Cricetulus griseus: one gene and its partners. The protein of the gene in region 1 purifies or fractionates together with the protein of each later gene. This does not show direct contact. Links are inferred from orthologs where the notes say so. Each region holds a gene or a part of one and is shown in the gene's direction. Other genes may lie near its edges.

Evidence for each region.
Region 2: the proteins of Lin28a (region 1) and Rbm28 purify together in Homo sapiens (affinity purification with mass spectrometry; 3 studies listed by BioGRID and IntAct, with this or other methods). This does not show direct contact. The link is inferred for Cricetulus griseus from reciprocal best matches to the Homo sapiens genes LIN28A and RBM28.
Region 3: the proteins of Lin28a (region 1) and Dhx36 purify together in Homo sapiens (affinity purification with mass spectrometry; 3 studies listed by BioGRID and IntAct, with this or other methods). This does not show direct contact. The link is inferred for Cricetulus griseus from reciprocal best matches to the Homo sapiens genes LIN28A and DHX36.
Region 4: the proteins of Lin28a (region 1) and Ythdc2 purify together in Homo sapiens (co-immunoprecipitation; 3 studies listed by BioGRID and IntAct, with this or other methods). This does not show direct contact. The link is inferred for Cricetulus griseus from reciprocal best matches to the Homo sapiens genes LIN28A and YTHDC2.
Region 5: the proteins of Lin28a (region 1) and Trim71 purify together in Homo sapiens (affinity purification with mass spectrometry; 3 studies listed by BioGRID and IntAct, with this or other methods). This does not show direct contact. The link is inferred for Cricetulus griseus from reciprocal best matches to the Homo sapiens genes LIN28A and TRIM71.
Region 6: the proteins of Lin28a (region 1) and Ebna1bp2 purify together in Homo sapiens (affinity purification with mass spectrometry; 3 studies listed by BioGRID and IntAct, with this or other methods). This does not show direct contact. The link is inferred for Cricetulus griseus from reciprocal best matches to the Homo sapiens genes LIN28A and EBNA1BP2.
Region 7: the proteins of Lin28a (region 1) and Larp4 purify together in Homo sapiens (affinity purification with mass spectrometry; 3 studies listed by BioGRID and IntAct, with this or other methods). This does not show direct contact. The link is inferred for Cricetulus griseus from reciprocal best matches to the Homo sapiens genes LIN28A and LARP4.

The regions. Positions count from the first base shown.
Region 1 is NC_048595.1:19,275,976-19,280,351, forward strand, and holds the start of Lin28a (protein lin-28 homolog A), read left to right. Parts: upstream 1-1,535; coding exon 1,536-1,566; intron 1,567-2,027; coding exon 2,028-2,224; intron 2,225-4,376. UniProt on the Homo sapiens protein: RNA-binding protein that inhibits processing of pre-let-7 miRNAs and regulates translation of mRNAs that control developmental timing, pluripotency and metabolism.
Region 2 is NW_023276806.1:198,657,876-198,661,500, forward strand, and holds part of Rbm28 (RNA-binding protein 28), read left to right. Parts: intron 1-3,265; coding exon 3,266-3,424; intron 3,425-3,625. UniProt on the Homo sapiens protein: Nucleolar component of the spliceosomal ribonucleoprotein complexes.
Region 3 is NW_023276806.1:89,642,436-89,646,060, forward strand, and holds part of Dhx36 (ATP-dependent DNA/RNA helicase DHX36), read left to right. Parts: intron 1-709; coding exon 710-827; intron 828-1,641; coding exon 1,642-1,740; intron 1,741-3,046; coding exon 3,047-3,220; intron 3,221-3,376; coding exon 3,377-3,463; intron 3,464-3,625.
Region 4 is NC_048595.1:192,996,816-193,000,440, reverse strand, and holds part of Ythdc2 (3'-5' RNA helicase YTHDC2), read left to right. Parts: intron 1-1,346; coding exon 1,347-1,524; intron 1,525-3,625. UniProt on the Homo sapiens protein: 3'-5' RNA helicase that plays a key role in the male and female germline by promoting transition from mitotic to meiotic divisions in stem cells.
Region 5 is NC_048597.1:221,619,622-221,623,735, reverse strand, and holds the start of Trim71 (E3 ubiquitin-protein ligase TRIM71), read left to right. Parts: upstream 1-1,291; coding exon 1,292-2,104; intron 2,105-4,114.
Region 6 is NC_048595.1:33,706,468-33,710,884, reverse strand, and holds the start of Ebna1bp2 (probable rRNA-processing protein EBP2), read left to right. Parts: upstream 1-1,519; 5' UTR 1,520-1,590; coding exon 1,591-1,656; intron 1,657-1,736; coding exon 1,737-1,820; intron 1,821-2,007; coding exon 2,008-2,180; intron 2,181-2,689; coding exon 2,690-2,813; intron 2,814-3,918; coding exon 3,919-4,008; intron 4,009-4,260; coding exon 4,261-4,336; intron 4,337-4,417. Other genes in the region: Cfap57 (cilia- and flagella-associated protein 57), read right to left, coding at 861-1,017. UniProt on the Homo sapiens protein: Required for the processing of the 27S pre-rRNA.
Region 7 is NC_048595.1:396,447,138-396,450,762, forward strand, and holds part of Larp4 (la-related protein 4), read left to right. Parts: intron 1-214; coding exon 215-370; intron 371-1,720; coding exon 1,721-1,796; intron 1,797-3,625. UniProt on the Homo sapiens protein: RNA binding protein that binds to the poly-A tract of mRNA molecules. Associates with the 40S ribosomal subunit and with polysomes. Plays a role in the regulation of mRNA translation.

The DNA.
Region 1 (4,376 bases):
TTGTAGTCATGGGGGAGGGGAACTGACCGGAGCTGGCATTGTCCAGTTTGAACTGAGCACCGGAAGTGAAGGGGCAGGGCCAGGGCTGTGCACTGAGCCCCGGGCCATTGTCCATCTCTGACCAGGGCAGCGGCCACCCCCGGTCCACCCTCTTTATCTTCTAGTAGGGAGTTTACCTCTTCAAATGAGAAACCTCCCTATCCAGTCCTTCCACCAGCCACACTACGGGAGGGTAGCGCAATTTAGGATGGTGACTGAGAACAGGAGGGTCTGGGAACCAGAGGGTCCCGGGTACTGCAGGAAGTGCCTCCACCCACAAATCTGTTGCCCTCTGCCAGCAAGGGGTGGGACAGGACGGGACGCGGCGGACAGGATGAAAGGCCGCTAGCTATCACAGAGGGCACTCTTCCAGGGTCCCCCTTGCTCTCCCAGGAAGCTCTCTACCTGGGACCAACTTAGATGCAGGCTTGGAAGGAAGCAAAGGATTCTTAGCACAGAATCAACTAGGAGCTTGTTTCTGATTGGGACAAACCCAGCGAAACTGAGGTTGAGACTTGGAGATGGAGGCATCTAGTTGTAGTCAGAGGCAGCCGGAGTTTGAGGGGCAGCGCCTAGGTCAAGACAGATGTGCTCTGTGGGGTCTCCAGCCGCTTCGCTGCACCCCTATCCTGACTTCCTAGTGTCCAGAACTCCAGGTCTATCTAAGCACACGGGAGTGGGGGGTGAGAGCAGGTCAGCGACAAGCTGCCGGGTCAGCTCAGAGGCCTGAGGGGGAAGGGGGGAGGGGCGCTGAGGGGCTGGGGGAGGGGGAGGGCTCATCCATTTCTCCCTTGACAGGTGGTTTGTGTTTCTGATTGGACAGCGCCACCAGGCTCACACCTCCCTCCCCCAACTCTCTGGAATGTATAATTATCTGCCCGGGGGGTGGGGGTGGGGTGCGTGTGTGTGTGTGTGTGTGCGCGCGCGCGCGTGTGTGTGTGTGTGTGTGTGTGTGTGTGTGTGTGCTTGTGCGTGTGTGTGCTTGTGCGTGTGTGTGTGTGTGTGTGTGTGTGTGTAGTCACGTGGTTACAAAACTACCCCCCTCTCAGGTCCCCCACCTGTGTCTGCATTGGGTACCCATATTGAGTCCTCAAAGTGCAGGATCCCAAATTCTGGGGGTACTCAAGACTTCTAGGGCAAAAGACCCCCGTTTCCAGATGTGTGCATGTGGAGGGGGTGTCAAATCTCAAGGTTCTGGGAAGGGACACCCCAGAGGTGTCAGAGACCAGAGCGGTGGGGGAGGGCGGGAGCCAGAGCCGGAGGGAAAGGGAGGGGTAGGGAGGGAGGGGAGGGGAGGGGAGGGGGCTGCCCGCGGGGGGTTGGGTCATTGTCTTTTAGAATTTGGGAGCCTTTGAAAAGCCGTGGGCCCTCCCACCGCTATTGTGCGGGGGAAGATGTAGCAGCCTCTTCTCCGAACCACCCCTTTGCCTCCGGACTTCTCTGGGGCCAGCAGCCGCCCGACCTGGGGCCCGGGGCCACGGGCTCAGCCGACGACCATGGGCTCGGTGTCCAACCAGCAGTTTGCAGGTTCGAGCTTACGATTTAGCGGGCACACCTTAGGGTGCAGGGCGCCCACGAGCTAATTAGAAGGGAGGTGGGAAAGTGTCCCACGGACTTGCCCGCGGGACCCCAAGTCCCTGCGGCCTCCTGCTCCTTGGGGCCATCTGTGGGACAGGGAACCCTGGTGTTCCAGTGGCTTGTGCGCCAAGCCCGCGGGGGCGGAGGGAGCGAAGAGGAGGGGCCTGTCCCGCCGCGTGTGCACCGGCAACATGTTGTGGGAAGACAAGCAAAACTTTCGGGGCATCAGCATCCTCGGTGTGAGCTTGGGGCGGCAGCCAGGGCAGGTTTCTTCTTACCAGCTGTTTGGTAGCTGCCTCCTCCTGGGTGTCTATCCGCGGGCTCAACACCGAGGTCTCCCAGACGGGTACCGGAGAGGGCCCTGTGATTGCCTGGCCCCCAGCTGATCACCTGGCCCTCCCTGTCTCCAGGTGGCTGCGCCAAGGCAGCTGAGAAGGCGCCCGAGGAGGCGCCGACTGACGCGGCCCGAGCCGCAGAGGAGCCGCAGCTGCTGCACGGGGCCGGCATCTGTAAGTGGTTCAACGTGCGCATGGGGTTCGGCTTCCTGTCCATGACCGCCCGCGCCGGGGTCGCGCTCGACCCCCCGGTGGACGTCTTTGTGCACCAGGTGAGAATGATTCCGGTAACTTAGCTAGGAAAAAGGAAAACTGGGAGTTACATATATGTGCTTGGCTGATGGCCGCTCCTGTTGGATTGGAGGAGATAAAGGACCCTCATTGTGCGTCCCTATCTGCTGGGACACCCCAATTTTGAGTTTGAGTAACTACGGTGGAGCAAGGAGGAGGCACCACTGGTTACCAGCACCCCCTCCCCGCCCCCTTCCGGGAACCCCTCCGGCTTACCACGTGTCTATTACCTCTTTCCCCTGGGAAGGGAGCAGGGGGCAGGGAGGTGACCCCATGTGGCAGAAACTAAGGTTGTATTGTGCTTGCCGGTGGGGGAGGGCGAGCAGGCTGATCAGGGAAGCACATGCAGGGCCTGAGCCGGGCGCTAGCGCCTTGAGTTCTGAATGTAGTTTCCAGGGCAGGAGAGGTGGGTCATTTGCCACCCTACCCACGGGCATGAACCTGCGAGGTCAGGCTGTTCCCCCTGATTGAGTGCAGACCTCAGTCCGGTGGCCACCCAAAAAGCCAGGTCCCGTGGCCAGTATAGATTCGGCAGATCCCGGAAGGATCAATGTGTGGGCTGAAAAGCCCCCCTAGAGGGCTGGATTTCAGTTCAGGACTGGCAGGCACCTCTGCTGCCCACCAGGTCCTGCCAGGAAGGAAAACCGTAAGAGCCCAGGCCTTCATTCCTGGATGGGCCAGTCTAGGAGACTTGGGTCGGTGCAATCCCAAGTTCTCAGTTAAAGAAGGGCTGCGCAGTGGGGAGTGAAATTCAGTGTCGAGGGGGCAGGCGGTGGAAGGAGGCTGGCCTCTTGCCCTATTCTCCTCAGCTTGGCATTTATGGCCCCAGACAGCCATTGATTGCTGTCCCTAACATTCCTAACCCTAAACAAGGAAGGGAGCCTTCAGGTTTCACTGTTATTCGCCTTACCCTCTCAACATCCTATGGACGTTCAAATGGTCCCCATGCCTCGGTGGGAAGGAGGTGACTGCTGCTCCCCCTTCCAGATTTGGTGGTTAAGGCAGGACCAGGAAAGAAGAAATTGCTAATCCCTGGCCCTGGAGCTTGACACCCGGTCCGGGCAGGGAGGGGTTACTTCAGGGAGGTTAGCTTTAGGAGCTGTGGGGGAGGGGAAAGGAGGATGTGGGGATTAAGAGTTGGAGCCTCAGGGATGGCGTTCTTGAGGGGGAGGGGTAGGGAAGGAGATGCTGGATCGACTGGTTGGAGGCTAGAGACTAATGTGAAGACTGAGCCCTACCCTCCAGTCAGGGGGTTGAGCAAGGGCAACTAGGTAGATTTGGTTTGAAGGAATTTTGGGAGCAGCTCTTTGCTGTTGGTGTCATTGGCTTCTGGAACGTGTGTTTAAGAGACCCGCAGCAGCAGTACCCTTAGCTACTTTCTTGACCCCCCCCCCATCACTACCACCAGATTGCTGGTTTCTGCATGGTGGCTTTGTGCCCCCTTCTCATTTACATATGTGAACGATAACCCACAGGAAGTAATTGTGAGTGAGAAGGGAATTGACCCCTTTGGATCTATTAAGTCACTTTATTACAGGAACCAGCTTTGAATGGCTCTCCTGCTTCCCCCACTCTCCCATTTATCTGATCACAGAGATTAAAATCTTTCCTGGTCTGGAGATGGGCTGGACAGCCTTCCCAATTTTGGGAGGCTGGGATATAAAGTAGGTATAGAGCCTTCTTGACTTCTTCCAAAGGCTAAGGAGGGAGACACTAAGGAGCATGTACCCTCTGCTCTGGGGTTCCTTGGTAGTAGAACAAATTGGAGGGCTGTGCCTCAGACTTAACCTTAGGATCCATAGCAATTGGAAAGCTATAGGACGCCACTGGAGGAAAGCAACAATCTCAATACTGACCAACTTGGAGATCTATGTCCACCAGCCCAAAATTGAAGTTTTTATGTGTTGGTTTCCTGTTTTCTTTCTGTTTTTGAGACAGAATCTCACTGTCTAACTTCGGCTGGCCTGGAGTTTGCTCTGTAGACCAGACTGGCGCCTCTAACTGGAGATCTGCCTAACTCTGCCTGGATTTGGGATTAAAGGCCCATTGGCACCCATATTTGAAGAAGTTGCCTCCCTAACCACCACTCTCCCCACACTGTAGTTGGTGTGTTACCACAGCTCATGATGGTGG
Region 2 (3,625 bases), on another chromosome or scaffold:
GGCCATAGAGCAAGACTCTGCTGTTGTTTAAAAAAGGAAGACAAATAAAACAGAAATAAAATTCTTACAAATACTCATCCTTTACCATATATGAATGTACTTTTATTTATTTTTTTAAATTCTGGTCAGTCACTGCTGGGTAATCTGCAGTTTAAGAAACATTTATCAGGCCTGGCGTTGGTGGCGCATGCCTTTAGTCCCAGCACTAGGGAGGCAGAGGCAGGTGGATCTCTGTGAGTTCGAGGCCAGCCTGGTCTACAAGAGGACAGCCTCCAAAGCTGTCTATTCTGTGAGTTCCAGGACAGCCTCCAAAGCCACAGAGAAACCCTGTAGAGATGGCTGCTCTTCCAGAGGACCCGAGTTAAATCCCTGCACCCACCTGGCGGCTCACAACTGTCTGTCACTCCAGTTCCAGACATACATGCAGTCAAAACCACCAGTGTACATGAAATAAACATAAAGGAGGGAAAGAAACATTCCTGTTGGGGGAGGCTTGGCAGGATGTCTTAGAAAGTTAAAAGCACTTTCCACCAAGCCTATCAGAATCAGAAAGAACCAATTCGTGCCAAGTTGTTCCCTTCCCTTTGAACACAAATAAATAAATGTTATTTTTTATGTTGTTGTTGAGCCAGGAGTGGTGGTATGTGGTATAATCCCAGCACCTGGTATGTAGAGGCAGGAGGATCAGGAAGTCGAGGCCAACTTGGGTTATATAAGACCCTGTCTCAAAAAAACAAAAACAATAAGAAAGAAACATGGACTTCCTTTTTCCTGCTGCCATTGCCAAGTTTCAGGGAGACAGAGTTCAGGTGCATTCAAGATTCTGCTTCACCCATAACCCACCACCACAGCTGGGGACGGTATTGCCGCTGGAAGTGTGATGGACATTAATACCGTTTTACAAGTGGTGCCAAAGACCACCCTTATCCACCATTGCCTAGCATGTTGAATTTGAGAAGTTACCAAAGCCTTAGAAAAGTGCTGAGTCCATCTTCATGTAATAGTAGTTTTGTGGACCTTACCTTAAGCCTGGTGTACTTGGTCTAAATTCTTAACAATCTCTCATGCCCCGTTTAAGAAAAAGTATGGACTTCCCTGTAGGGACAAGTGAGGTGTACTGGAAACAAGTGTGGCACTCCAGTGGGGTTAGAGGGGTGGGCATGGAGGTGAGGTGGCGTTTTTCCTAATGGTGCTGGCGTGACCATTCTTACGATTGTGAAGATTCTGAATGTGTGTGACAGTTGTTTGTGGAGACATAATTATTGTATATACCTCTTGGTACATTAATCCCCCCCCCCCCCCTTTGTATTTTGTTTGTTTTTCGAGATAGGGTTTCTCTGTGTAGCCCTGGCTGTCCTGGAATTTGCTGTATAGACCAAGCTGGCCTAGAACTCATAAAGATCTGCCTGCCTCTGCCTCCCGAGTGCTGGGATTAAAGGTGTGCGCCCCCACCACTGGTCTGAACTTCACATTTGAGTCGCTTTGTTTTTGGTTGTACTGATTGAGAGGAGGGTCTTGTTTTGTTTTTTTTTTTTGTTCTTATTTTGTGAGTTATAGGCTTTTGTGAGAGAAGTTCCAAGAGAAAAGAAATCAATTTCCATGTCACAGTTTGCTGTCCCGGTGCCCCATGCCAGCTGTGCAGCCACTTTATATAGATTATTGTCCTGTGTTATATCGTATGTGCTCTGGAGGAGATAAAACAGAACACAGAGTTGTTTCTTATGCAAGTCATGGGCAGACATCGACATTGGTTTTTTTGTTTGTTTGGTTGGTTTTTGCCCCCCCCTTTTTCTTGTGCAAGAAATTAATTACCATTTTACTATTAACACCCTCCTCCCAAAAAGGCCATGATGAGTAATTATACATCTTTTTGGTCCTGATACTCTTCTGTGTGGCATCTCATGAAAGACCATGAGGCAGGGCAGTGGTGGCCTTTAATCCCAGCACTCAGGAGACAGAGGCAGGTGGCTATCAATGAGTTGGAGGCTAAGCCTGGTCTACAAAGTGAGTTCCAGGACAGCCAGGGCTGTGACAAAGAGAAACCCTGTCTTAAAAAACCAAAAAAAGAAAAAAAAAAAAAGAAAGAAAGACCATGAGGTTGGCAAGGAGGAATTAACATAGTTCTTTTTTTAACATTCTTTTTCTTTTTCTTTTTTTTTTTTTTAAGATTTATTTACTCTGTATAGTGTTCTGCTTGTATGTATGCCTGCAGGCCAGAAGAGGGCACCATAGCTCTTTATAGATGGTTGTGAGCCACCTTGTCGTGGCTGGGACTTGAACTCAGGACCTCTGGAAGAGCAGTCAGTGCTCTTAACCACTGAGCCATCTCTTCCCAGCCCCTAAAATTATTTCTTAATTTTATGTGCCTGGGTGTTTTGCCTGTATGTGTGCCTTTGCATCATGTGTATGCCTGGAGTCCTGGTGCCGGTGGAGGTTGTTGCATCCCCTGGGACTAGAGTTACAGATGGTTGTGAGCCACCATGTGGGTACCCGGAATTGAACACCAGTCTTTGGAAGAGCAGTCAGTCCTCTTAACCACTGAGCCTTCTCTCCAGCCCCTTAGCTTAGTTTTGACATTCACTTCTCAAATTACTCTTTGGAAAGAAGGGGTGGTATTCATGTTACCTAGCTTGGAGTGTCCTGAAACTAAAAATGAGGCCAGGAGTTTATACCTTCTTTGGAAGTATTTAATTAGATACTGAAATGCTAAGGTCTTAATGACATAATGGTTTTATAGGACCTTACTCATTTATTGCTATTATCTTCTAAGATTGCATTATTATAATCTGATTTTTCAAATCTACCATATGTATTTGGTAATCTTTCATAGTTTAAAATTGAATTCTTCAAGGCCTAATGTATATCATGGGCCCCCATATTCTTAAGATTATCAAGGCTGGGGCTGGAGAGATGGCTCAATGGTTAAGAGCACTGACTGTTCTTCCAGAGGTCCTGAGTTCAATTCCCAGCAACCACATGGTGGCTCACAACCACCTTGGATAAGATCTGGTGCCTTCTGCTGGCATGCAGGCAGAAGACTGTATACATAATAAATAAATAATAAAATCTTTTAAAACTAAAAAAAAAAAAGACCAGAATAAGAAGAGGCAGTAAGATATTAAATTGGAAGAGAAAGGAAGCCTTATAGTCCCGAGTAAAGTGGGGAAGGATCCCAGCCTTGTTTCTTTTCCTTTTGAGACTTGTGTCTTTGATTGATTGCTCACAGGCCTTTGCTCTCATTTCCATCCTTCTTGCCTTGTTCTAGGGAGCAAAGCATGCCGAGGCTTTGGCTACGTCACTTTCTCCATGCTGGAAGATGTTCAGAGGGCGCTCAAGGAGATCACTACTTTTGAAGGTTGCAAGATCAACGTGACTGTTGCCAAGAAGAAACTAAAGAACAAGTCCAAGGAAAAGAGGAAAAATGGTGAGTTTCTAGTAATTTTTCTAAGAGGAAAGAAGACACTGAAAACCCCAGATGGTCAGAAAACTGAGAGACAGCTTCAGAACTTGAGCTAACTGGTTTTCTTTTTGTTGTCAAAACCCCTCTGGTATGCTTTCATAGTCATTCACTTGTATCTTGGTCTGGAAAATCTGGTATTCCTGGATATTGCACACTTGACTCCAT
Region 3 (3,625 bases), on another chromosome or scaffold:
TGTTTAGAAATATATGAATTCTGTCAAGTCAGTTGTGGCACGAAATCACAAACATAAAAGAGTTTCCGATGTCTGAGAGCTCACTAAATAGAATACATTTAAATACGTTCTTTAATAAATGCAGGCTAACATAGTGCAGGGTTTGTTATAAAGTTTGCTTACAAGGTATATTTAGTGTTACAGCTCTAAACCTGACCAGAGTAGACTGCTGCAACTTGAGCGAGGTCAGAGGAATTGTGGAAATAGGAACCAAATTGTGGATGGAAATGTCTTTCATTGCTTTCTGAAACTGGAGCACAAGATGAGTTCTAGCATTCTGTAGTACAGAAGGACAAGCATACTTCAGAGTAATATATTACATACTTTACAAGGACTAAGAGGGGTGCTTGAAGGCTTATATAACAAATGCAAATGGACTGATCTAATTAATGCACATATATATTCAAATATATTGTACTGTATATATTAATATATTGAAAGAAAAATAATGTTTAACAAAGGAAAGAAATCAGAACAGCAAAAACAAAGTAAAATTTGGACATGGGTTTAGGGTCTTTCCAAAGACAGGAAGGAAATAGGGTTTTGCAGCATGAAATAATAATTATGTGTGTAACAGGCTGTGAGAAATTGATGCTGGATGCTTTCTCTTCCTGTTCTTTCTTTGGCATTCTAACAGTCATGTTCTTGTTAATGCTTTTTTCTTTTTAAGAGTTCAGCCTGGTCATTGTTATCATCTGTATAATGGCCTTAGAGCAAGTCTTCTGGATGACTACCAACTACCAGAAATTTTGAGAACTCCTTTGGAAGAACTTTGTTTGCAAATAAAGGTATATTAATTGGAAGAATTAACAACCTAAATGGAGGGTGGTATTACAGTTTTCAACATTTTAATAGAAGAAAGTATAGTATGACCCTACAAATAGGGATTATTTTTATGAACTTCATTTTGCTGGCGTGAAGAAACAAACTCCTTGAACTTCCTTCTGATGTATATCGAACAGTTGTCAATGTTAGGATCAGGGGACCTGTCTTTGATTCTCATTTTCTACCTAGAAACTTTGTTCTGCTTCATTGAGCAGATTTTTTAACTTGATGTAAAATTTCTGTATAAAATTCTTAAACCAATGTTGGACATATAATAGTCAATAAATGTTAGCTACTGTTACTTAATTTTTGTGAGTCAGAGGTTTTATGGTAGAGAAGCTCTCTACCACTGAACTAACTGCATTCTCAAAGTGTGGCGTGCCCACCCTCCCCCTCTCCTTTTTTTTTTTTAACACCTTGAGATGGTCTTAATTGGCTCAAGCTGACATTGAATTGTTGATCATGCTACTTCAGCCTGCTGAGTATCTGGTATTATAGTCCTGTCCTGCCTGTCCTGGCTAGCTGTTACTATATCTTCAAATGTTAGATAGTGTGTGTGTGTGTGTGTGTGTGTGTGTGTGTGTGTGTGTGTGTGTTTATATATATATATGCTCAACTAACCCTATTTCTATGGTAATCAGTAATCAACTTGTTGAAACTTTTTTAATCTGATCACTTTTCTCACTAGTTAATTTCCTCTTAGAAAATGTTATATAAGCTTTTGAGTACATGTTTTTACATTTTTTTTGATACATCTTTAACTATTTGTCTTCACAGATTTTAAGGCTAGGTGGAATTGCTTATTTTCTGAGTAGGTTAATGGATCCACCATCAAATGAGGCCGTAATGCTCTCCATAAAACACCTAATGGAACTGGTAATTTTTATTTTTGTATTTGTATTTAGCATGTTACAGTATGTACACTGGCTACTTAGAAGCTTACTCCAGAGTAGAGCACTGTCAGATTTGATGTGATGCTTTTCTTGTGTTTTTAAGATACAAGTCTTGAGTTTTGTTCATTGCAAGATTGATTTAAATTACATAAATCTTGAAAAATTTTTTTAGTGATCTTCATATGTATTGAACTGGGTTGGCTTATTCTACTCTTTCTGATTACCATAATGCTCTCTTGTCAAATTCAGGTATTTTAATGATAGTGTGGACTTTTGATAGAGGCAGTCCTTATGTTTCAAAATATATATGAACAAGTGTCTTGTCTGTGTGATGCTATAACAATTCTTGAACTGTCATTCACCATTATAACTTATTTCCATAAACAAGATTTTCTGGTTTTGTTATTTCATTTTTATGCTCTGAGAAAGTGACTGTAGTTGTAGTCATTCCTCCATGGGGCCATGTTGAGGGGTACAGGACTGGCCATGAATTAATTCCCAGAGTAGTACAGGAGATGAGAAAAGTGTTGAACACTACTGTTTGCAGCTGTATGTGGTAATTTCAATCATGAGTCAACTAGAAATTCATAACCTTAGTGATACTCACATATGTTTTACAACATCTCTCTGTACTGTACTGGACCACATAGAGAAAGAGCATTTTTTTAATCTACAAAATCATGTTGGTTTATGCTGGGTTGGAGGGTGCCAAAGACATGTCACAGGTTTGGGAGCTATCCATGTAGATAATTCTTTAAGAATTCGGATTTTGTAGCACTGATACAGGCTTTTAAATAGTAAACTGCTTAAAATAGCACTGTAAATGATCCAACCATGCCTTTATATTTCCTTGGTGTCCTCAGGATACTTTCCTAGCTGCTCTCATTTGAACCAGATTACCCAGAGAATTGGAAGAGAAGTCATTTTTATGTATGCCCCTTATCTCTTTTTGCATCATAGCACCTAAACTAGACTCTAGGGACTGTGCATTTCACCCACTTTTTGCCTTTTTATAACTGCTTTACCACAGTGATTTTTTTTTTCTGTATTTCTTATATAACATTTCCAAGTTGTGATTAATTTTGTTGGTTTGAATAAGTCACTAGCCTTTGCTGACATAAGGATTTATTTGTTTATTTATTTATTTTGTTGAAGGCATCTAAAACAATGCTTGGGGCATTTGGGACTTAAGAGAATAATAGTGACCTGTATGTTTTATAGCTAGTTACAGTAGCTTTTGATGGAGTGCTTTGCTAGGCCTACTGTAAAAGCAGTTTCTTCCTTTTCAGAGTGCTTTGGATAAACAAGAAGAATTGACACCTCTTGGCGTCCATTTAGCCAGATTACCTGTTGAGCCACATATTGGAAAAATGATTCTGTTTGGAGCTTTATTCTGTTGCTTAGATCCAGTACTCACTATTGCTGCCAGTCTCAGCTTTAAAGATCCCTTTGTCATTCCACTGGTAAGAAAGACAGAAAAGAGGCTGGGAGTTTTAATGCTAAGATTGTTTACTGCTGACATGTATTTTTCATTATAATTTCATCATCTGACATCATCATTATTATGTCAGAAACACTTAAGCTACAACTGTTTTATTTATTTATTTATTTACTTTTAGGGAAAAGAAAAGATTGCAGATGCAAGAAGAAAGGAGTTGGCAAAGGAAACCAGAAGTGATCACCTGACAGTTGTGAATGCATTTGAGGTAAGAAAAAACAACCTTGTTCTGCTTATAAAAGATTATTCAAGAGCATATTTTAAAATACTTATAAGTGACCATATATATATTTACGGAATAAATTGTTGAGAGATGGTTAAAATTTGGTGAGTGTTTTATAAAAATGAAGTTCTTCTGTTATACAAAAGC
Region 4 (3,625 bases), about 170 Mb from region 1:
GAAACCTTATACTGAAACCAGAATATACTGTCTGATTGTACCACAGAGTACATACTGTACATTTTTTTAAAAAATTAAAAAGCTTAAATGATATGTTCATGATATTTATAGAATTTTAGAACAATCTTAGAGTTCATTAAGATAACTTTAACAAATAAATTAAAGTTCAGTGTCATGCACAGAGTTATATGTTCATTTAGTGTTATTCTAATATATAGATTTCAGTCTCCTCTCTCTAGTGCAGTATTCTTTCCGTGTCATCATACTATTATTTTTAAGTCTATTTTATGCAATACTATTTCTGATTTTTCAAAATGTGGTTTTACCTCTTTTTTAAAATGTATCCTATAGTCTGAGGTTGTTTGTTATTGTTGTCTTATATGGGGTGTGTGTGTGTGTGTGTGTGTGTGTGTGTGTGTGTGTGTGTGGTGTGTATGTGTGTGTTGCATACACACAAATACATATGTGTGTGCCAGTGTCAGAAATTGATATTAGGTGTCTTCTTTAGTAGCTTTCCACCTTCACTTTTGAGACAAGGTCTCTCAATGAACTTAGACCTCACTAATTTGCCTGGCTGGGGAATGAGATCCAGGGATTTGCCTTTCTTTGGCACCCTAGTTCTAAGATTACAGAACCAGCTTTTCTATTGGTACTGGGTATTGAGATCAGATCCTCGTGATTGCATGGTAGATTAGTTTCTTTTATGTTGCAGTGATAAAATACTTGACAAGGAAAACTTAGAGAGAAGGGATTTACTTTGACTTACATTTCCATGATGGATAGAGTCCATCATGGTGGGGAAGACATGGTAACAGGGAGGAAAGGCATAGCAGGCATGGATGTAGGAGCAGGAAGTGAGCTGGTCATATTTCCTCAAAGAACAAGAAGTGTAGCGAGAGCTTGCCTTCAGTGGTTTACTTCTTCCAGTAAGGCTCAGCTGTTCAAGTATTCATAACCTTCCTGAACAGGATTGGTTATCGGTATTCAGACAGAAGAGCATATGGGGGCATTTTACATTTGAACCAGTAAGCATTTCACTGAGTTGAGCCATCTTCCACCTCTCTATTGTTTCTTATATGTGTATTTACTTACATATTACTTATTTATTCATTGTTGTGCTGGGGATCAAACCCAGGGCTTCAAGCATACTAGGTAAGTTTTATATCACTAAGTTACACTCCTACCCATTCTAGTTCATTCTTTCTTTCTTACTAATGTAAATAGAAAAATGAAATTCCCTTAAAAGTATTCCATAAATTATATGTCATTGAGATTTTGTTATGAAATAGCATTCCCTTTGTATTATAAACTCATGTATAACTGACTTGTGCTTCTTCTTGCTCAAGAGTACTGATGAAATCTCCATCTCCAGCCTTACATCCACCTCAGAAGTACAAAGACAGAGGAATTTTACATCCTAAGCGGAGCACTGATGACCGATCAGATCAATCATCTGTGAAATCTACAGACAGCAGCAGTTACCCAAGTCCTTGTGCTAGTCCCTCTCCTCCGTCCTCAGGGAAGGTAGGGCATCCACAATCTATAGTAAGGAGCTGGGTTCACAGCACATTTCATGTACGTAGTTTTACACAATTATAAAACTTGTACTTTTGTAGCTGTGGCCTGTGTTCTAATTACTACCACTTATTGTATTTTAAATGTGATTCTTTATTGATGGCAGATAGCCATGCAGCTCATTTTTTTTCTTCTTTATTTCTGTAGAATTTTTTGGTTAGAACAAAAATACTGCCTTGATAATTTTGTTTTATAATTCTTTCAAGTGTTTTCTATAGCTCAATGAGTATTTTAAACACATAAAAATTAAAAAAATATGAAAGATAGAAATCTTTGATATAGAATTGAAAACTGCCTTAAAAATGTGAGTGGTTTCACACATATAGAAAGTGTTTACTTTTACTTGTGTTACTAGTACATGAATAAGGAAGTATTTGATTGAGAGTTACTTGTGTTTGGTGAACAATGTCTGCTGAACACTTGCTAAATAAGAAGAGAGTACATTTTTATTCTTACATTTTATTGGGGGGTTACTTTAAACCCCTTTGTTAGGTATACTTTGTTCAAAAAACTTACTAGTTTATGGGCCACTGAGATTGCTCAGTGAGTAAAAGTGCTTTCCACCAATCCCTATGACCTGAGTTTGACTCTTGGGACTCAGATGGTAGAAGTAGAGAATGGAGTCCTGCAGGTTGTCTTCCTACTTCCATATGAGTATACTGTGTCGTGAACATACCCCTCCTCACACACACAAAGAAATATATGTAATAGAAAAATTATCAGCTTAAACTGAACAACTTAGGTGAATTTTGTCAAGTGTATATAATTGTAATTGTACCATAGTCATATACAGAACATTTTTATTACCTTTGGTAAGCACCCCAGTAAGCACTGCTTATTTTTCCTAAACATCTTATAAGTGGAATAGTGCTGTTTTTGTGTCTAGTTTATTTTACTTAATGAATTGCTTTGAAATTCACTTATGCTGTTAAATTTAACAACTATGTTTTTCTCTGAGTAGTATTCCATTGTATGGATATGCCATAGTTTGTTTACACATTTACCAGTTGATGTGGACATTTGGGTTATTCTACTTTGTATTTGTACTAAAAGTGCTATAACATGTGAATGGAGCCTTTGTATGCAGATGTTTTGTATTTGGTGTTGGATCCTAGGAGTGGGATTGTGGGTCGTATCATAAATGCTTGTTTAGCTTTAAAAATAACCTCCCCACTGCTTTTCAAATTGGCTGAACTAGTTCCCATTTTAACAATCTATAAGAATTTGTTTTGTTCCATATTGACAAAACTTTTCATTTTATAACTTAGTCATTCTAGTGGATTATATAATGATAGTTCCTTGTTTTAATTTCCATCTCCCAAGTATCTGTTGATGTTCAACGTCTTTTCTTGTGCTCACATACCATTCTGTGTATAGTTTTTGGTGAATTATGTTTTCAGATTTTATTTATTTTATGCTGTTCTTTATTGGATATCTTTTTAAAATTAAGTTATAAGAACTTTATATATATATTATATATATATATAATATATATATATATATATTTAGAGCAATTGTTTTTAACATGTTTTGCAGATTTCTTCCCTAACCTACAGTATGTTTTTTTAACCTTCCTCTGAAAAACAGCTCTTTATAGCTTTTTTTGGTTTGCTTTGAGAGAGGTTCTCACTCTAGTCCTGGGTGACCTTCAATTTGCTATGCATACCAGGCTGTTCTTGATGTCACAGAGATCAGACTGCAAGTGTTACGGTTAAAGTCATATGTTACCATGCCCTTCTGTTTTTAGTTTTGATTGGATCTATTTCTTCAGTGTTTTTTTTCCACTTAATGACTTGTACTTTTTGTGTACTGAGAAATTTTTTCATAATCCAAAAATTAGAGCTCTTACATAGAGGTATGTGATACTATTTTGAATTAATTTTTATCATACAGATAATTTTTTCTTATCTATACAGTTGTTCTATTATCATTTTCCAAAAAGATCACCCTCCCATTAAATTATTTTGGCATATGTTATGAATATTTTGATCATAAATGTGTGATCTTTCTGTTGGATTCTATTGAGTTTCATTGATAAGTGTTTTTCTTT
Region 5 (4,114 bases), on another chromosome or scaffold:
GCACTCGGGCGGAAGTGAGTTTGCTCCTTTGGAGATTAAAAGGATTCCGAATTCCGATCAGTCCCAATAACCGGCGTACCGAGAGGCGGCAAAGCGGAGAAAGAAGGGAACACGCGCGCGCACGCTGCCCCCCGTTCAGGGGAGTGGTGCAAAAATAAATCCCCAAAGCAACCCGGGAGATCAGGGCACCGGGAAAGCCAGAGCCCGGTAGGCGCAGCGCAGCCGGGGCCACCCGCGTCCCCGCTCGGCGACTCGTTTGCAGGAGGATGACGCAGGCGGGAGCCGCGGGCGGCGCTGGCCACGCGGCTCCTGAAGTGGCCGCGCGGGTCCCTCGCCGGCTCCTCTGATTCCAGCACGCCCGGGAGGGAGGCTCGGTCCCCGAGGCTCCGGGATTGCAGGGGGGACCCGAGCGAGGGTGAAATGGCCCGATGACAAAGGAAATGTGATCCCCCTTCGCTGCCCAGGTTTCGGAGAGGACGGCCGTGAGGAGGAGGGGCGCGCGGCGCGCGCGGAACGCGGATAGCATTGCACGACGGCCCCGCGCGGAGCGGGCGGCGGGTACATCCAATATCTTCCCGCCGATGAATAATTCAGGGCGGCCCGCGGGGACCTGCGGCCCCGCGCCGCGGAGCGCCTGAGGCCGGAGCAGGGTCGGAGCGCGCGCTAGAGAGAGCGAGGAGGAGGCCCGGGGACACGCGGGCGCCGGGAGGGCCGCGTGGGGCGCGCGTGCGTGTGAGCGCACGGAGACCGCGGCCCGGCCGGGCTGCGCAGAGGCGCGCAGTGCGTGGAGCGCGCGTGCGTACTTGGCACGCGTGCTTCCGCGGCGGGCGGGCGGGCGGGGGCCCCGCACGAGGTGCAGCTGCGCGCTCGAGCCGACCGCGCGCGGGGGAGGCTGCGCCTCGGCCGCCACGCAGGAGCTCCTGCCGCCGCGTCATGCGGCGGGGCGGGCGGCGTCGCGCGCGGGACTCGAGCTGCTGCGACTTCGGGGCGTTTTCCCCTCCCTCCTGGAGACTCAATCCGTTTAGCCCGGGGCAAAGGGAAAAAAAAAAAAAACAACACGCGCAAGACTCCTCAGGACCTTTTTTTTTTTTTTTTTTTTTTTTTTGCGCTGAGGGGACTGGATTCCACGGCGGACTTTGGGACTTGGGCGGGCGCTCGCTTGCTGCCGAGTGGCGGTGCATGCCTGCCGTGCCGAGGTGGCCCGGGGGTCGCCTCCACCGCGCCCTCGATGCGCTCTGCTGAGTGAGCCGCGCGCCCTCCTCCTCGCCGCACGCCCTCTTCCCTCCTGCAAATGGCTTCGTTCCCCGAGACCGACTTCCAGATCTGCCTGCTGTGCAAGGAGATGTGCGGCTCGCCCGCGCCGCTCTCCTCCAGTTCGTCCGCCTCGTCGTCGTCGTCGCAGACGTCCACGTCGTCCGCGGGAGGCGGCGGTCCCGGGGCGGCGGCGCGGCGCCTGCACGTCCTGCCCTGCCTGCACGCCTTCTGCCGGCCGTGCCTCGAGGCGCACCGGCTGCCCGCTCCCGGCGGCGCCGGCCCCACCGAGGCGCTCAAGCTGCGCTGTCCCGTGTGCGACCAGAAGGTGGTCCTGGCCGAGGCGGCGGGCATGGACGCGCTGCCGTCGTCCGCCTTCCTGCTCAGCAACCTGCTGGACGCCGTGGTGGCTACCGCCGACGAGCCGCCGCCCAAGAACGGGCGCGCGGGCGGCGGCCCCGGGGGCGCGGGCGGCCACAGCAACCACCGGCACCACGCACACCACCCGCCCCAGCGCGCCGCCGCTCCGGCCCCGCAGCCGCCGCCCGGCCCGGCCGCCAACCCCGCCGCGCTTCTGCTGCGCCGGCAGCACGGCTGCAGCTCGTGCGACGAGGGCAACGCCGCCTCGTCGCGCTGCCTCGACTGCCAGGAACACCTGTGCGACAACTGTGTCCGCGCGCACCAGCGCGTGCGTCTCACGAAGGACCATTACATCGAGCGCGGCCCGCCGGGGCCCGCGGCCGCCTCCGCGGCGCAGCAGCTGGGGCTCGGGCCGCCCTTCGCCGGCGCGCCCTTCTCCATCCTTTCGGTGTTCCCAGAGCGGCTCGGCTTCTGCCAGCACCACGACGAAGAGGTGAGTGCGCGTGGGACGCGGGCGAGCGGAGCGGACCCTTTGGCAGACTTGTATCGTCCCCCTACCTCCCTTCCTCCCTCCCTCCCGACGTCCCTCGGAGAAAGAACCACGTCCCTGCGACATCTTCCTTCCCTGGGCATGTCCGAGGAGTCCCAAAACATTAGATTCCTTGCCTTTTTGTTTCTCATTTTTTTTGGGGGGGGGTTAGGGCTGATCGAACCCAGGGCTTTTTGCTGGGCAAGTCTACCCATGGAATTGGACTCCAAGCCCCTGGATTTCACTTTTATTTTCTTACTTAATTTTTGCATTTATTTGCGCTCGTGTGTGGAAGTCAGAGGATAACTTTCAGGAATCGGGTCTCTTTTCCCCTTATCTTGTGGGACCCGGGGATCGAAGTCGGGTCTTTCGGGTTTTGAGGCAAGTGCCTCTTGAGCAGTAAGCCATCTCGCCAGCCCAGCTTCATTAATATATATATTTTCTCCTGTGTGATAAAATGTAGTTGGTGTGTCCAGTTGAGCACGAGTTTGGAGGAGATAAATATGTTTGTGGAGTCGTGGATTCCTTTTGTATGAGTCCGCCAGAGGCCGCCCAACGTGCTGAGAGGGCTCTCCGGGGTGGGGAGGGATGGTTGAGGTGTGGACTTGCTTCTCACGTGTGTGTGCTGGGCCGGAGGACTTGGGTTAGGTTGGCATTTGCACGGGTTGGCGTTCACCGGAGTGTCTGTCTGGTTGTTGGTTAAAAAGCTTGTGGCTTTTTTTTTAGAACTAAGGAACCCCGGTGTTGAGTCCCTAAGTTTGCTTCTACAGTTGTTTTTCATGCTATGCGTAAAGCCTGCTCTGGTTGGTGAGTACCCACGTGCAATGACCATGTGGCCTCGTGGGGGCCCCTGAGAGAGCTGGAAGCCAGATTGGGACCACCGCAGTTGGGTCTCTTGGCGCTTTAACCATGCTTGGCCCCGTCTTCCATCTCGCGGGGCCCTGGGCGCTACCCTGCCCATCCACAGGTACTCACTCCACTTGGGCAGCGACCCCGCAGCTCGAACCTGGGGGTGTGCGGAAGCTGAGGGCTGTGCTGCTGCCCTCCGACCTGATTATCCCTTTGGACTCTTGATTTTTATTTCCAACTTGGATACCGGACCATCACCACCTATTAATACTAATATTATGCTATTCACTGGAAGCTCGTGGAGGCTTGGACCACCCTTGATGGGTTGGGTAGTCTCGTCTAGCTCTACCTGTACCCATGTGCGATGGCAGTGCTTGGTATTCCTGTCTCTGGGAGGAGGGCAGAGGACAAACAAGGCTTTCGAAATCCCGCATGATTTAGAGTGGGATTGTCCACACCGCCGCAGCGGGGTCCACTTTTTAACATGTTATTTGGGGAGGAGCCTTAAGTTGGAAAAATTGAAATTCTAATGCGAGGAAGTTACCTTTTTAAAAGGATTCTTCTGACGTGAAGTCGGTGGCTCACTCCCGTTTTCTCACACTCATGGTTTGATGTTTGTTTCTAGTATATTGTTTAGAAAATCCCTGAGCCAATTCACTGGCAGATTGGCATCAAATTCGAGGACGAGGCAGGGAAGAAAGCCCCCTGAATCCACGTTTGTTTTCCTCCATGGAGAGAAAGAGTTGAAATATCTTACTTTTCTTATTAATTTTTAGTCAAATATTCCATTTGGGCTAAGGCTGTAGGCATTTGGGGCTGGCTGATTGATAGGTTAACTGTAGCTCCCTGTGTGTTTATTTTGAGATAGGGTCTTTTTCTTTAGCCTAGGCTGGCCTGGAACTGTGTCACCTAGGTTGGTCTCCCTCCTGACTCAGCTTCCCAAATACTGATACTACAGATTTGAGTGAGTCACCGTGACTGGTTTCACTTAAAAAAAAAAACAAAAAACAAACAACAAAAAAAACGTTTTTGAGTAAGCTGACCAAATAATGAGTTGCTTGATGGCGTCTTCATAGGTGTGTTTTCCTAGCTGCCTTAATTGCCAGTTCTCTTGCTTAGATTTTT
Region 6 (4,417 bases), about 14 Mb from region 1:
CAGAGTCCAAGTGGAGGGATTTTTTTTTATTAGGGAAAGGGATCATAAAAAAGGGTAAGTAGAGGGGGGAGACCTGCCTCCAGGGACAGGAGCAGTGGGAGGGAGAGGAAAGAGATGGGGGGTGGGAGGGCAGACAGAGAGAGGGAGAGAAAAGAAAGAGAGGAGAATGGGAGGTGGGCAGGGCCCTTTTAAAAGGGAACACAGTGAATGTGTACAGTTGGTGCTCTTAGTGGTTGCAACTGAGGGCATACCCTGTCAGAGCCCCCAAGAACAGGCCAGTACAGATAGATGCTTGAATACTAACAGTAATAATTCATTAATGATTACATATATGTATTGTGGTCTTTTATATTTGCATGTGAAGGGATAAAAAAGTAGGGGAAGCGTCATGAATATCATTGGCTGGACTAATGTAAACAAAAACAGGGGTCAGGTTTTAAGGAAGATTATTTGTGACTTGGGTTAAAATTGTCAGTGTCTCCACCATACAAGGATTCTTGAAACTGTTACTCAAAAAAAAAAAAAAAAAAAAAAAAAAAGGTTCTGGTGAGGACAAACTCACTGCAGGACAATACAAGAAAAACACTGTTTAAAGTAACTCTTTTATGAAGTCACAGTGAAAAAATACTTTTTAAAATTATTTAAAATTAGTGTTAATATGCAAGTCATTTTGACTACATGTGTCAGGTTAGTCTATAATTAAGAATTAAGCAGTGCAAATTGACATTTATAAAACTACATGTATATCCAGTTGTCAAGAAAGACCTTCCTAATCGTTGAGACTGCATGGTTCTGTGTAGCACAGCCTTTCACATATGTGACAGGATGGGAAGGTTTTTTTTTTCCCCCTTTCTTTTTACCTGGAATGAATTTTTGCCATTTCTGATCCACATTGTACTTCACACAGTGATTTCCTGAAGGAAATATAATGATCTGTTCATCGAAGAAGAAGACATTGTTGGCCACGTACGACCGAAGACCAAAAACATGCAGCGCCTGAGCTACGACGGTGGACATGGTACCTGTCAGAAAGTGCTGCTGAAGATAAAGCAGCGGCTGGTGAGAAAGAACTGCATCTCCCGCCCCCGCCCATGGCCCCGCCCCGCCCATGGCCCCGCCCCGCCCAGTCCTGGATCCGCTTTTGGCCCGCCCCTCCCTAACCACAACTCACCCCTTCATTGCCCCCCCCCCAGACTCCTCTCCTCGTCGCCCCTCCCCCAGGCTCCTCCTCTTGTCCCCCCTCCCCCCGCCCACAGCTCCTTCCGCGCTTTGCCTTTCTCTCTTGTTCCCTCAACGACCCCAGGCTCTTCAGAGGACCTCAGAGAAACCTCTCACCTCTTGCTTCACGACCCTGGGTTACGAAACCAAGCGGGGATCCGCAGGTACTCCTCCTAAATATCCCGAGCAACCTAAGCACGCCCAAACACCGGAGCGGTTCCTATAGCAACGAGAAACCGGAAGTGCGGCTCTGCACCCGGAAGCGGAAGTCCGGATCGAAAAGCCAGAGGCTTGTGGAGAAGCTGCCGGCGCGGGTTCGTCTTCAGGGCACGTGGAGTGGCTGTCGCGCCCCGCGGGGCGGGAGATCGCGAGATGGACACCCCTCCGCTCTCAGACTCGGACGCGGAGTCGGAAGAGTCCCTGGTCTCAGACCGGGAGGTAGGCGGCTGCGGGGCTCGCGGGACAGGGCGTGGAACGGGAACTCCAGCTCTCTGGTACTGACGCCCCCGGGTCTGTAGTTGCAGGATGCATTTTCCCGAGGACTCCTGAAGCCAGGCCTCAACGTTGTGCTAGAGAGGCCGAAGAAGGCGGTGAATGACGTGGTGAGCTCGCTCGCGGGTTGGGGTCCTTGGAATGGGGTGTGCATAGGCGCCCTGCTACTTGGGAGACCTACTGTTGCGAGAAAAATGCCCCCTGTGCCTTGAGCTGTACTGGTATTTGAGCTTAGCACTTTGGGCTTGAGAGAGATAAACTCTGGGTTCTCATGAGCACCGTGTCTGACTTACCTAGAATGGCCTGAAACAGTGTTTGGCTGAATTCAGACGGGATCTGGAGTGGGTTGAAAGGCTCGATGTGACCCTGGGTCCAGTGCCAGAAGTCAGTGAAACTCAGCCAACCCCCCAGAACAAGGACCAGAAGAAAGGTGTTAATCCAGAAGACGACTTCCAGAGGGAAATGAGTTTGTATGTTTTGTTATGAGTCCTGTGATAGAGAATCATGGGAAGGGGAGTATAGTATGCCTGCCCCCCTCAGAGACACCGAGGAGTTAGCGCGAACCTTGGGTGCCTCCTGCTTGAAAGAATAGCTCCTTGGTCATCATTTAACCTGTGCCCTGCCTAAGGGCTATTTAAAGTTTGTGTGGGTGCATCCAGTCAGAGCAGACTGCCTAGGGAAGGCTTCGAGGGGACTTTGTAATGATTGGGAAAGAGGTCATACTTTGTATGTTAATGGTACCTTTAATAAGCTTATTGTTTTAAGCTGTTGATTTATTCTTAGAAGTATTTTCCCCTTAAAAATAAGTGTAAAATGAGATTTCTGTTATATGAAATTAGTGGAGTTTTATTGCAGTTTTTGTTTTGTCTTGCTAGTGCCAGAGGGATATTGATAGTCCTGAGTCTAGTTAAGTCCTGAGAGGCAGTAAGAAATGAAGGCCTTTCTTCACCCCTCATTTAACTCCGTCCTGAAATTTCAGCTACCGCCAGGCCCAGGCTGCAGTGCTTGCAGTATTACCCCGGCTCCATCAGCTCCAAGTCCCCACCAAGCGACCCACAGATTATTTTGCAGAAATGGCCAAGTCTGACCAGCAGATGCAAAAGGTAAGAGACAGGCAAGTTTTTTCTCTGGAAAGCCAGGGCTTCACCCTGAAGTATTCAGCTGGTGGTTTTTAAAAAGGATTTATGTTGGCTGTAATCAGTATTTTTTTTTTTTTTTGGTAATTTATTTTACTTTATTTTTTTATGTGTAGTGGTGTGAGGGTGTCAAGATATCCTGTAATTGGGTTTACAAACAGTTGTGAGCTGCCATGTAGAGGCTGGGAATTGAATGTAGGGCCTCTGGAAGAATAGCCAGTGCTCTTAACCACTGACCCATCTCTCTAGCCCCTGTAATCAGTATTTCTAATGGAGAGTCTCTGCTTCAGAGGCACGCCAGTCACTTGGTAAAACGGAGAGAAGAGCTGGAAGAGGTGTGGTCCCTGTGATAAAGAAGGCTTGTATTCCCTTCTTGGCAGGGTTAGTGGCATGGTGTATAGACACAACAGTTTTGTAGTTCTGGGCCCAACGAGAATACTATTGCTTATAGAAAGGTTTTTCTTCTCTGGGCCTCTGTTTTCTAGAAAGTGAGGGGTTGATAGATGGCTCAGATACAGTGTAATTTAGGGTTGGGGGACTTGATCCTCATTTAACTTTGGGAGGAAAAAAACTTCTTGACTCGGAATCCAGGATGTATTTAAATTGTTCCCTTGGCTTCAGTCTTCATCTTAGAGAATTCTAGGTGGTACCCCAAGAAACTAACCTGGAGATAAGCCCAGATTAACCTGACAGTAACACTGATGACTACTTATGCTTTCAGTAAAATGTTTGTGTTTGATGGGAGAGGCAAGGGATCAGTGTGCAGTGACCCCTTAAAGAGGGCACTGAAGTTTAGCCTTGATCTGTAAATGGGCTTGGGAGAAAACAGGTCTTGTGTGACAAACAGGCAGCTTTATATAAGAGAACAAGCGTGCTTGAGGAGGCAGGGCTGCTTTTAAGATCTGCACACTGACAGTTGGTTCCTGGATAAAGGGCTCAGCTTTGGGGCCGCATTGTCTGTATGTGGAAAACTAGGAAAGTACACAAGATCCATGGCTTTCAGAGCTAATGGAATCCTGGTGCCCTGGTCTAGTGTACTCTGTATAATACCTGACAACATCCTGTGTTTTAGATTCGACAGAAGCTGCAGACTAAACAGGCTGCCATGGAGAAATCTGAAAAGGCCAAGCAACTTCGAGCGCTTAGGAAGTATGGAAAGAAGGTAAGAAAGAACACCTGCATGGAATAGGACAAGGCCAGGAATGTCAGGTCTGATTGCTGTGGTGTGATTTGGTTCTTGCCCGGTGTGTGTGTGTTTGGTCCTGTGAGTCTTACTGGTGAAGTGTGTCCACCATAATCCCTGAGTGCAGGTTCACTTGACACCATGGGGCACCATGGTGCACCCAGTATATCAGCAGGTAGCAGCAGGAGTCGTGTTTTGAGATGCATGACTGACCTTGTGTCTGTCTCACAGGTGCAGACTGAGGTCCTTCAGAAGAGGCAACGGGAGAAAGCACATATGATGAATGCCATCAAGAAATACCAGAAAGGTCAGTGCTAAGGGTGTGGGGGAGCTGGGTATTGGGCACCATAGAACTAAGGGAATGTAGTGTAATACAGTGTCTTGCAGT
Region 7 (3,625 bases), about 380 Mb from region 1:
AATTATATGAGCAGTTGAAAATATAAAATGCTAACTTATCCATAATGGTCAAAACTTGTCTCCCTTCAGAAATAACTCTTAACTTAAGCCATGGTGACATTTTTTCCAACTTGGTACAGTTCTGTGAAACCTTTTTTTAGAGGACATGACTTGAGTTCCTGCAGGTGGGTTTAAATACTTCCTGTTTACTTTCAATATCCTTTCTTCAAAACAGGTAACACAGAACTTTCAGAAGATATGTGCAAGGAATATGAAGTAATGTATTCTCCAACTTGTGAGACCACAAGGAATACTTCAGACATTGAAGAGTCAGCTGATGGAATGATTTTAGGACCTGAAGATCTGAGTTACCAAATATACGATGTTTCTGGTAACTTTTATTTTTTAATTGCTAGCATGAAACTTTAGTATCCTTAGCTCTCCCTCTATTGTCTCAATAAACATGACACTGATCAGTTTGTTTTCTTTTTTGAAAAGAAGCTTATGATAAGCAACTATTAGATGATTATTAAAAATGCTGTTGAATAGTACCCAGACATAAAATTTGTAGAGGAAGAATCTTTTTGAAGTCCTGTTAAAGATATCAGGGAAAAGTAGTTAAGAGAAATCCAAATTGCAAAAAGTTGTGCGTTTCTTGGTTGATTAGTTGAGATCATTGCAGTTTTATCAATTTTTCTGCCACTTTTGTCAGCATGAAATTTATTTTGAAATAAGTGTTGTGTTTCAGAGATTAATTTTAAGAAAAGAAGATATATTAAGATGGGCAGCTGTGGCTTATGTTAAGGACAGTGTGGGCTGCATAGTAAGATCTACCCTATGCAGTTTAATCTCAGCACTTGGTAGTAGAGGCAGAAGAGTCAGGAGTTCGAGGTCATGCTTGCCCACATAGTGAGTTTGAAGTTTGTTTAGTCTACATTATATACTCTCTCAAAAAATCAAAACCAACCAACGGAACATGCAAAAAACGAGGAATGAAGACGAAGAAAAAAAATGTATAAAAAGAGAAGTTAAAGAGAGTGATTCAACACTAGATCTGTTGTTGGTAAAACAGTTACATAAACACCATATATCCCACTTTAGTTCTTATCTTTAAATTTAGATCACCATTAGTTATGTTTGGGGTTTCTTGTTTTATGTTGCCATTGAAGAATTGGGTGGTTTTCACTTTTTTGTTTTTGAAACAGGGTTTCTCTGTATAGCCTGACTGTCTGGGAACTCACTTTGTAGACCAGGCTGGCCTCAAACTCAGAGATCAGCCTGCTTCTCTCATTTTTACGGTGAGATTAGGGCAATGTTTAACAACATAGTAGTCAAATGCTTTTAGTATTAATGGTCCTTTGTTATTTCTTGGTGGTGTGTGTGTGTATGTGAGATGCGAACTTGGCTTTGTGTTTGTGTGTGACAGCACTTTACTGACTGAGCATTTACCAGCCCTCGTAAGTATGAACTATGTATGTGACAATACTTAAATCTGTTGCCACACATATGCTAGATGAATACTCTATCACTGTATTTTGGAGTTCAGCCCCAGATCAATAAGAGAATTCTTCAGTCAAGATGAAGTGCTGCTGAGAAAAGCATGAGTTGGAAGAAATTAGACTTGATTTAAATAGTTCTGGTACATTTTAATTTGTGGCTGCTTTGTGACTTCTGAATATAATGTGTAAGTTTCACCTGTGACAACTTTTAACAGTTTCTCCCTCTTGTTTTCTGCCATTAGGAGAAAGCAGTTCAACAATTTCTACAGAAGATTTAAAAGAATGTCTGAAAAAACAATTAGAGTTCTGTTTCTCACGGTACAGATCTTTTTAATTGATATTCTCCTCTTTTTTTTTTTGTTTTGTTTTTAATGAGTAGATATAAAATGCCTGTGGAATAGGCAGTTATTTCCTTCAGTCATAGATTTTGCTATAATTCTTGAATGTATTTCTTATCTAGACTTAAAAGTATAGCTTTTCGTTGGATTTATCCTTTCCTAGCAGATAGTGACTGTCTATTGAATACTTTTCCTAGGACCATATTTAGACAGAGTTTTCCAAACGCACTAAATGAAATTAATTTTTAAAAACTGGTTGCGTAAAAGGAAAGGAAAATACCTCAATTTAAATTTTTAGAAGTTGGTTCTTAAAACTTTTGAACAGAGTAATTTTAACAAGACCCTAAAGAGATAGACAGAGAGTCTTTAATATTGTTTTCCCTTAAACATAAAGTCTTTCTAGGCCAATGTTTCAAAAATGGTTTATTTATAGGTGAGACTTGTGTAGAGATTTGTTGTTGCTCAGATATCCTAAAATTTCATTATATAAAGACTGTTTACAGCTGGGCATTATGACGCACACTATTAATCTCCCAGCACTAGGGAGGCAGGCTGATGAGTCTGTAAGTTAAGGCTGGCCTTGTCTGCATAGAGAGACCCAGGACAGCCAGGACCACATAATGAGACCGTGTCTCAAACAAAACAAAACAAAGGCTATTAGAAAATAATTGAAAAATTTTCCAGTCTTTGGTGAACCAGTTTTTCAAGCTTCTTCTAGGCTAGAAGTATCGATTGGGGGAAAGGAGGGATTTCAAGACAGGGTTTCTCTGTGTAGTCCTGGCTGTTCTGGAACTCACTCTATAGTCCAGGCTGGCCTCGCACTTAGAGATCCACCTGCTTCTGCCTCCTGAGTGCTGGGATTAAAGGTATGTACCTTATGGCTCAGAAGCATAGATTTTATTATGTACTTTCTTCTTCTTCTTCTTCTTCTTCTTCTTCTTCTTCTTCTTCTTCTTCTTCTTCTTCTTCTTCTTCTTCTTCTTCTTGTTCCTCTTCCTCCTCTTCTTCCTCTTCTTCTTTTTTAGTTTTTTTTAATTTTTATTCTATGAACCAGGTTCTCACTTTAGCTCTAGCTTTTCTAGAGCTCATAGAGATCTGCCCCCTTAGTGCTAGGATTAAAGACATGCACTGCCACACCAGGCTACCCCCCATATCTTTAACCTGGAGCCTCTCACATGCTAGATAATTAAATGTGCTACTGAGCTGTTATCCTCAGCCCTGATTCTCATATGAATAACTTTTGTTTTGTTTTTTGTTTTTTGGGTTTTTTTTATGGTTATGAAATGACTATTTTGTGATTTTTTAATTCTCTTGGCCCCACCCCACCTTTTTCCTTAGTGGTGCTGAGGATTAAACCCAGGGCCTCATGAGTACTAGTCACGCACTCAACCTATCCCAGCACTAATTCCACCAGTTGTTCTGCATCCAGCAATTGACATTTTACCACAAGGAAACACACTTCTTTTTTTTTTTTTTTTTTTTATGGTATTTGTTTTGTTTTTTTTGAGACATACTTAAGCAACCCAAGAAGCCCTCATGATTCTCCTTCCTCAGCTACCCTAGGAATTGTGGAATTATAAGCATGCACTGTCACAACTGTGATAAGCTGATCTAATTAGATTTTAATTTATTTTTTTTAACGACAACAAGGTGTTATTCTGTAGCCAATGCTGACCTGGAATTCACTCCGAGCTTATCCTGGTCTTGAATTCTCACCCCTTCTCATTCCTAGTGCTGGAATTAGATGTGAGCATAATTCCTTTTTCATATAATACTTTTAATAATAATTAAGGTTCTTACATACTGGTT